Solanum lycopersicum: one gene and its partner. The protein of the gene in region 1 interacts with the protein of each later gene in a pairwise test. Links are inferred from orthologs where the notes say so. Each region holds a gene or a part of one and is shown in the gene's direction. Other genes may lie near its edges. The genes, in order: receptor-like protein kinase FERONIA and rop guanine nucleotide exchange factor 1.

What was found.
Region 2: the proteins of receptor-like protein kinase FERONIA (region 1) and rop guanine nucleotide exchange factor 1 interact in binary tests that used the Arabidopsis thaliana proteins (3 or more experiments, as listed by UniProt). The link is inferred for Solanum lycopersicum from reciprocal best matches to the Arabidopsis thaliana genes FER and ROPGEF1.

The regions. Positions count from the first base shown.
Region 1 is NC_090808.1:11,839,284-11,843,885, reverse strand, and holds the start of receptor-like protein kinase FERONIA, read left to right. Parts: upstream 1-1,498; 5' UTR 1,499-2,253; intron 2,254-2,652; 5' UTR 2,653-2,689; coding exon 2,690-4,602. UniProt on the Arabidopsis thaliana protein: Receptor-like protein kinase that mediates the female control of male gamete delivery during fertilization, including growth cessation of compatible pollen tubes ensuring a reproductive isolation barriers, by regulating MLO7 subcellular polarization upon pollen tube perception in the female gametophyte synergids.
Region 2 is NC_090800.1:94,187,802-94,192,139, reverse strand, and holds the start of rop guanine nucleotide exchange factor 1, read left to right. Parts: upstream 1-1,253; 5' UTR 1,254-1,772; coding exon 1,773-2,070; intron 2,071-2,292; coding exon 2,293-2,409; intron 2,410-2,513; coding exon 2,514-3,052; intron 3,053-3,561; coding exon 3,562-3,915; intron 3,916-4,323; coding exon 4,324-4,338. UniProt on the Arabidopsis thaliana protein: Guanine-nucleotide exchange factor (GEF) that acts as an activator of Rop (Rho of plants) GTPases by promoting the exchange of GDP for GTP. Acts downstream of PRK2 in the control of polarized pollen tube growth by activating ARAC11/ROP1.

The DNA.
Region 1 (4,602 bases):
TGTAATACATTTTTAATTCAAGTTTAATTCATTTTGCAGTTTCTTATGCCTCTTCATTTGTTACGATTATATTACTTCTCTTCTAATAATTCATCTTTAATATGTTTGTAATACATTTTAATTAAAGTTTAATTCATTTTACAGTTTTTATGTCTCTTCATTTGTTACGATTATATTATTTGTCTAATTATCTATTAATACAAGTTTTATTCAATCTAGAATTATTGACTATTCTAAAAAAAAGGAAAAAAAGCAATAGCAAGAGAGGGAGAAAGAGCCAAAAAAAAAAGCAAGAAAGAAAGGACAAAAGAAAGAAAGAAAGAAACAAACAAACAAGAAAGAAAAAAAAGAAAGCGAGACACAGTAAAGGAGAAAGAAAGAAAGAAAAAGCGAGACAGAGAAAGATTGAAAGAGCGACACACAAAAGAAAAAAATTGAAAAAGTTGCTATAAATGATAATAATTAAAGAGTATATTTAAAATAAGTAATTATTTTTTAAAAGGAATCCATTCACGTAATTAATCCAATAAATTAGTGGTAGGCCCCAGTGAGCACATGATTGACGGCTAAATAACTTGGCTATGGGACCCGTCTCCTTTATAACTTGTTACAACTTAGTAACACTCCATGATATTCAATTTATTAAAAAAAGAAAAAGAGCAACGCGTAAATGGCAAAATCACAATACTTCTTATCACCCTTTCGTACTTTGGGACAATTTGTGAAAATGATTTATTTGTACTTCCCTCAACAAATACAATTATTCTTTTTAATAATTAAAAAAGGGACTACCAATTTTATTATGGTTATTTAAATTAAATAATGATTCATCATATTTTTTGAAATAAAAAAATTATATTTATCTTGAAAATTAATGAGTATAATATATAAATATGACATTTAACTCAGTGACGGAGCAAGGATTTTCACAAAAGGTGTCCAAGTTCTAAAGTGAATTAGTTCTTTTAAAAAGGTGAAAAAATTGCTACTGTGAAATTCAAACATACAAACACTTTAAATTTGTGTATCTTTACTCTTTCAAGGCGCCTGAAAACCACTAGATTACATCATTTTGTTGTGTCAACGTGTTCATAATATATTATTTAGCCACTTAATTTATTATATTACTTGTATATACGGTATAATATTCCAAAGAAGAGTGTACAATTGGACACCCTGACACAAGTGTTGCTACGCCGCTGATTTAATTTAATTTCAGTTGACGTATATATGTTTTTTAACTTTGAGTGTGGAAAAATAGACACATTAATCCGATGTAACGTCCTAAATCACGATTTGCATCACGTCACGAAGGACATACATATTTATTTGATCGATTTTATATAAATTTAATTATCTACTTATTCAAATGCAAAGTTGACAGACATATATATATTAGTTGAGATCAAGTCATCTGTCATTTAACTTGATCTCAACTGATATTTATGCCTCCAACTTTTGATATGTATAAAGTCTACATTTAAATTTAAAAAAAGTTAAACAAGTAGACACTTGCACTCTACTTGACTTAATACACACATAAAATATAAATTGTCATGTATGACGTGTGTGTCTACTTATACAATTCCATAAAAGTTCATGCATATACTATTATACACACAAAATTTAAAGACATATATCAAATAATTTTAAATTAAAGAACATATTTATTGATTTATACATACGAATAATAGTTGTAACTAGAATATTATGTTGTATGCTTAAAAATAATTATTTCAAAATAATATGATTGGTATTATATTCCGTTTTAATTATGGTAGAGAGAAAAGAGTGGGAATGGGAGAAGGAAATAGCTATATATAATAATAATAATAATAATAAAATAGAATTGCCACCTCCCCATTTGGTCCCTACTCCAAACGCGTTTGTGCTTAAAAGAACTCACAGTCTGTCATTGACTGTCATTGAATCAGAAATGGCAAATTGAGATTTCAACGTTCTCTAAAGGGTATTACTGTCATATGCTTGCCGTAGTTGGGACTCAGTTATTTTCTACTCCATTTTCATAATCTAGATTAGTAGAGTTTTTAAGAGATATCAAGCTAACCAGCAACTACCATCTTCCTTCAATTTCACTTCTCCATTTCTCTCTCTCTCTAAAACTCAAACCCTATTCTCTCTCTTCTTTCATCTTACTGCTGCATTCAATTTACTTCGTTTGGTGTTTGTCAACTCAGCGATGGCCTGAAGTTTGCTGCTTTTGGATCTCTCTGTCTATTCCTCATCTTTAAGGTATTTTTTTTTGGTCTTCCTTTACTTGTTTATGCTTTTGTTTAGCTCCCATGATTTTGCTGTATGCTTGTTTTAGCTAGATCTTGATACTCTGGTTTCTTTATTTTGGACTGAGTGCTTTCAGCCTTTCATCATCTAGCTCCAAAGTTCTATTTATATGCAATTTGTTGCTACTTCTGCTGGGTTTTGGACTGAGTGCCTTTCATTTAGTTGTGAAAAACTTTTATCTGTCTACTTTATGCTATCCCCTGCTTCTTATACTGCATCCTGATGCTGGGTTTTATTTAGTCTTCTGGATTTAGTTGAAAAAAGGGATTCCGGATTTTGAGATTTATATTGTCCTTGTGTAATTAAAATTGAGGGGAGGTCAACTGATCTTTCTTTTTTCTTTTGTTCCAGTGATTTCTGCGGATTACTATAGGCTTGTGCAGCATCTATGGCAGACGACAGTAAATTCTGTTTTTTCTTTGTTTCGTCATTTTTGTTGTTGGCTATTGTGATTAATGTGACATTTGCTGCCAATTATGTGCCTGGTGATGATATTCTGTTGAACTGTGGCGGTCCTGACAATCTCCCAGATGCTGATGGTCGGAAATGGGGCACAGATGTTGGGTCAAAATATATGTTGGGTAGTAAGTCATCAATCTCTGATGCTGCTGATCAAAAGCCCTCTGTCCCTCAAGTTCCTTTTATGTCTGCCCGTGTATTCCAGTCTGAGTTCACCTATAGTTTCCCTGTAGCATCTGGTCGTAAGTTTGTCCGTCTCTATTTCTATCCCTCGTCTTACAACAAGCTAAATGCTACCAATGCCATCTTCGATGTGGCCTCCGGACAATATACCTTACTTAGAAATTTCAGTGCAGCACAAACTGCTGAAGCTCTCAACTATGATTACTTGACCAAGGAATTCTCAATAAATGTGCCATCTGAAACTTTGAACATCACTTTCACACCCTCTCCAAATACCTCAAACTCCTTTGCGTTTGTCAATGGGATTGAGATTATTTCACATCCTGATATCTATAACACAGAAGATGGAAATACCTTCATTGTGGGTCAGAAATCCCCTTTCATCATTGACAATTCTACTGCCTTGGAAAATGTCTATCGCCTTAATGTGGGAGGCAATGTAATCTCACCATCAGGTGATACTGGTATGTTTAGGTCATGGGGTGACGACTCAAATTATATTTTTGGAGCAGCCACCGGAGTCACCAATACTGCCGATGATGAGAATGTCACAATAACCTATGGTAATGGGCAGCCTACCTACATTGCCCCACTTGATGTCTATAAGACAGCTAGGTCAATGGGTCCAACTTTTCAAATTAACCAGCAATTCAATTTGAGCTGGGTTTTCTCAGTTGATTCAGGGTTCTCTTATCTTGTTAGGCTCCATTTCTGTGAAATCACTAGAAATATCACAAAAGTCAACCAGAGGGTGTTTATCATCTACATGAATAATCAGACTGCGGAACCTGCAGCAGATGTCATTGCTTGGGCTGATGGCAATGGAATTCCTTTTCACAAGGATTATGTGGTCTCTGTACCTCGTGGGGCTTCACAGCAGGATCTTTGGCTTGCCCTCCATCCAAATGTTGCTTCAAAATCCAATTGGTATGATGCAATTTTGAATGGAATAGAGATTTTCAAAGTGAGTGACACCAATAATAACCTTGCTGGGCCTAATCCTGTTCCAGTTGCAGAACCAGATCATATTGACCCTCTGCCATCCAAAACAGGTGAATCAAAAAATAATAAATCAGCTATTGGTGGAGGCGTTGGAGGAGGGATTGCTGCTGTAGTTCTTATTGGTTTAGTTGCATGCCTTGTCATGCACCGCCGGAATCGTGGGAAGGTCCAAAGTCCAAGTGATGGACCATCAGGCTGGCTCCCTCTTTCTTTGTATGGAAATTCACATACGTCTGGTTCTGCTAAGACAAACACTACTGGCAGTTATGCTTCGTCCCTTCCATCAAACCTTTGTCGTCACTTTTCATTTGCTGAGATCAAGGCAGCCACCAATAACTTCGATGAAGCACTGCTTCTTGGGGTGGGTGGTTTTGGCAAAGTATACCAGGGAGAAATTGACGGTGGCACAAAAGTTGCTATCAAACGTGGGAATCCTCTCTCCGAGCAAGGTGTTCATGAATTCCAAACTGAAATTGAAATGCTCTCAAAACTTCGCCATCGCCATCTTGTTTCTTTGATTGGTTATTGTGAAGAGAACTGTGAAATGATCCTAGTATATGACTACATGGCTCATGGTACCCTTCGTGAGCATCTCTATAAGACCCAGAAGCCTCCTTTACCTTGGAAGCAGAGGCTTGAGATTTGTATTGGTGCTGC
Region 2 (4,338 bases), on another chromosome or scaffold:
AGTTTAGTCATTAAAATTTTGTTAGATGACTTTCCATAAGCACGCCGGACAAACAAGGGTCCATCACGCCAACTGCAATCCGACCTGCCATTGTCACGTGCAATCGCAAGCCCCTAAAATGGAGTAGCACACTTCAATTCATCCTATTTTCCTCCGGGTCAAAAACTGACGTCGGAAAAATCTCCAATCTCACCGCCTCTGTCAATATCATATCTTAAGCTTAAACTGGAATGTAAAATCAAAAAATTCCCATATTTTTTCAGTAAAGCGAATAAAATCTCCCCAAAAAGAAATAACTTTCTCGTGAATGCAAGTATCTCTGCATAAGAAGGAAAACGAAGCAGACTACAAAAAGTTTCAAATTCCCGACACAGCTGTAATTATTTTCATTTAATTAAGCAAACCGAACCAGTCTAATCTTTTGGACTACCAGAGGGATGTGTGTGCGCCAATTTTAGTAAAAACACATTCATTTGATATAAGCACCGACGCTAGCAAATATATTATACTTATTTTAAAATTTATCAAATTAGAATTTTTTAGCAATTTGTTTCGGGGATTTAAATAAGTTAAATTAGCGTAGCTGTGGGACTCTCGCTAGTATTGACCTCCTGGACTAGTATCGATGGTGGCTCCATACGGGTAGACGTAGGCCCTGAAACCATAACAAAGACAAGACAATTACAGGGAGGACGTACGTGTTCTCGGGCGAGTGCAGACTCGGTTAGTATACAAGATCATCAACAGAGTAATAGGATGCATCTGCTGAAGCGAAGACTCATGTAACAACAAGCTGGACCGAAGCTCAGCCATAGTTGGTTTTGGTCGTTGAAGCTTCGCCGTAGTGACAAAGCTTTCATAGTCCGGTCAAAAACATACGTGGTATGGTATCACACTCACATGGTGCATATTATAATCTTGATAATTCACTCCAATCCTATTTTATATAAGGTAATTGTACTCGACATAGAATTTAAGAAGGAAATAAAATTTTTTAAAATTTGTGATTTTAAGTGAATGATAAGAATTTGTTTTATTTCAAATCATTTCATTAAAAATAAAGTAAATATTTTTTTATTTTAAAATTAAATTGTTACTTAATAATTCAAAATGTTATTAAAATAAATTGAGACGAAAAAATAATTAATCAAAAAATTTGATAAGGTCAAAATAAATAATATTATGTCATGAGTATTATTTATATTTTAAAACTCATTCTTATAAATTTCACACCATATGTTATTTTCAAAAACATGAGTATGATTTTTCCCCAAGTCATCAAAATATACTCGTATGATATGCGTTAAATTTTCCGTAAATCATCAAAATCCCAGTGGCAAACTGCAAAGGCAAATGCTCCCAAACGAAGAAAAGGACCAAGTCGGGTAGTAGGTATCTTTTTGTCGTCAACTCCTCAACTAACGCCGTTCTTTTTCACCCAACAGACGCCCTTCAAACTAACGCCGTCTAATCGTACGGTAAAATTTCCCACGCACCACTCTTTTGTCACAGTATTTTTTTTTTTGAGAGAGAAACAGCTACTGTAATAGTAGTACTGTGTGAACTGCGCTTTGGTTTGCTTTATCTTCTTTCTGCTTTTTCACCCTCCACCATTTCCTCTTCTTTCTCCTTCACAGCCATATCTGATAAGCTCTGTCTCTCCCATTGTCGCCATTTGTTTTACCCTTTTATTTGCAATCATTATGAAGCTCATTTGCATCTAGGATCTTCTTATTTACTACTTTTACTAAAGCATTTTCGAGTGCTTAACGATGGGGAGTGTATCATCTGAAGAAGGTTCTGATCAGCAGAGTGAGAGATGTGGAAGCTACAGTTTAAGTGCTGATGTCAGTGAGTCTGAAAGTTCTTCAAGCAGTTTCTCTTGTCGGCGCTATGATGCTGAAGGCGCATCCAGTTCTATGGCCTCTTCGCCGCTCCCTTGCCGGAGATTCACTGCCAAATCCGAGTTTCCCACACCAGTGCTACCTCCATTTATGTTCCCGGCGATTGGCGGGAAAGATGTGGTGCTCTGCAATGACAAGTCTGAGAAACGCCAGGCAGATTTATCTGGTTTGTGCATTTTTTTGGTTTTAGTTTAACTATGCGATTTCACGCCAATCCGGTAGAGATTTATGCAAGTTTTATGTTTGATATCTGTACTGAGCTTCAATATTACCTTCATTGACCGGATTTGTCATTGTGCATCTGTTGGTATTTTTGGACATTTGCTGCTTTTTTCCCCTTTAGAATGTGGGTTATCGTTTCTTGACTTTTAGGTTGTGTTTGATTTAGAAATTGATCTGATGAAGGAGAGATTTGCCAAGCTGCTTCTTGGTGAGGACATGTCTGGAGGGGGTAAAGGGGTTTCTACGGCACTTGCAATCTCAAATGCTATCACAAATCTTTCTGGTTAGTATAACTACGTCTTTCCTTTGAACTCAAAGAGTAATTTCATAAAAGATTGCACATCTGATTTTTTATTGAAATTGGGTTTTCTTGTATGATAACTATAGCTACTATATTTGGAGAACTATGGAGGTTGGAGCCACTGGCCCTACAAAAGAAGGCAATGTGGTGTAGGGAGATGGAGTGGCTGCTATGTGTTAGTGACTCTATTGTGGAGCTTGTGCCTTCCATTCAACAATTCCCTGGAGGAGGCACATATGAAGTAATGGCAACAAGACCACGTTCTGATTTATACTTGAACCTGCCTGCTCTAAAGAAACTTGATGCTATGTTGATTAGCATTCTCGATGGATTTCGTGACACAGAGTTTTGGTATGTGGATCGAGGGATAGTTTTAGCTGAAGGAGATGACTGTGACTCTTTTCCTCCTGGAATAGGGTTTGGTAGGCCCTCAGTTCGACAGGAAGAGAAATGGTGGTTGCCTTGCCCTAAAGTCCCCCCAAAAGGGTTGTCTGAAGAAGCTAGGAAGAGAGTGCAACAGTGTAGGGATTGCACTAACCAGATACTGAAGGCAGCCTTGGCAATCAACAGTAATGTGCTCGCTGAAGTGGAGACTCCAAGTGCCTATATTGAAACTTTGCCCAAGGTTTGCATCCTGTTGAGTTTACTTAAAGTAGAAGTTATAGTTATATTTAGTGAGAGTTTTTTGTCCAAAAAAACTGAGCTGCCATCTGCAGCCTATGTCAGGTTCTTTAAATAATTCTATATCTTGACTTCCTTTGTTTTCCTTGCCTTCTTCATTGCACCAATGGTTAATGTTGCTGTATCTCTTATTTAGTTCACTTGCACAAAATGAGATGAAGTATGCTACAGTTGTCTAATGTAAGTGGCTAGCTCAACATTTATGTTTTTGATAAGAAAATATGGTAAGAGAAAACAAAGTAAAGTTTCCTTATTAGATAAATAATCCGTAAACTTAAATTTCAGAGACTTTGTTCCCTTTTTCCCCGCATTCCATATTTGTTATCCTCGTATGGGTATTCTGATATCCTCCCAAGGACAATTTTAGAGTACTTGTTTGATGAAAAGAAATGCTGTTTACTTGTCAATTGCAACTGTTCATTTCTTGAATTGTTTCTTAATTTCTTATTGCAGAGTGGAAAAGCATGTCTAGGTGATATCATCTATCGTTACATCACTGCTGACAATTTCTCACCTGAATGTCTTCTTGATTGCCTGGACTTGTCATCAGAGCACCATACGCTGGAAGTTGCAAATAGAATTGAGGCTGCTGTGCATGTTTGGAGACTGAAGGACCAGAAGAAACATCCACATAAAAGAAAATCTAAAGGCAAGTCATGGGGAGGGAAGGTCAAGGGCCTTGTTGCAGATGGTGGTAAGAATCAATATCTGGCAGAACGAGCAGAAACTCTCTTGCATAGTCTCAGGCTTCGCTTCCCTGGTCTTCCTCAAACTGCACTTGACATGAACAAAATACAGTATAACAAGGTAGGTGATACAAACTCACATGAAGACTAAATAGCAGAGTGAAGCAGATAGGGGGCATAGTGATATTTGTTTTGATAAGGGAGGAGTTATTATGAGATATTTCTTGCTTAATAATGATAAATTCTATGCAATAGAACGTGTAGGCAGTGGAAATTCTAGTCACAAGTGGTCTCAAGGTGTGAACTGTGAAGATGCCTTTATTATACTGTTAAGGAATTTCATTCTTGATTCTATTTCTATATTGCCGAATATTGATATTTTGTGAAATGTTTCTGATGGCAAGCGGTGGATAAAAGGGAGGAAATGAATCGTCAGCTACTGTCATGAATGCAATAACAACCAGATACATAGGGACCTAGCTGTCTTCATCTATTGTGCTCTCTGAAAACTTAATATGTTCTACTGCAGGATGTTGGACAGTCA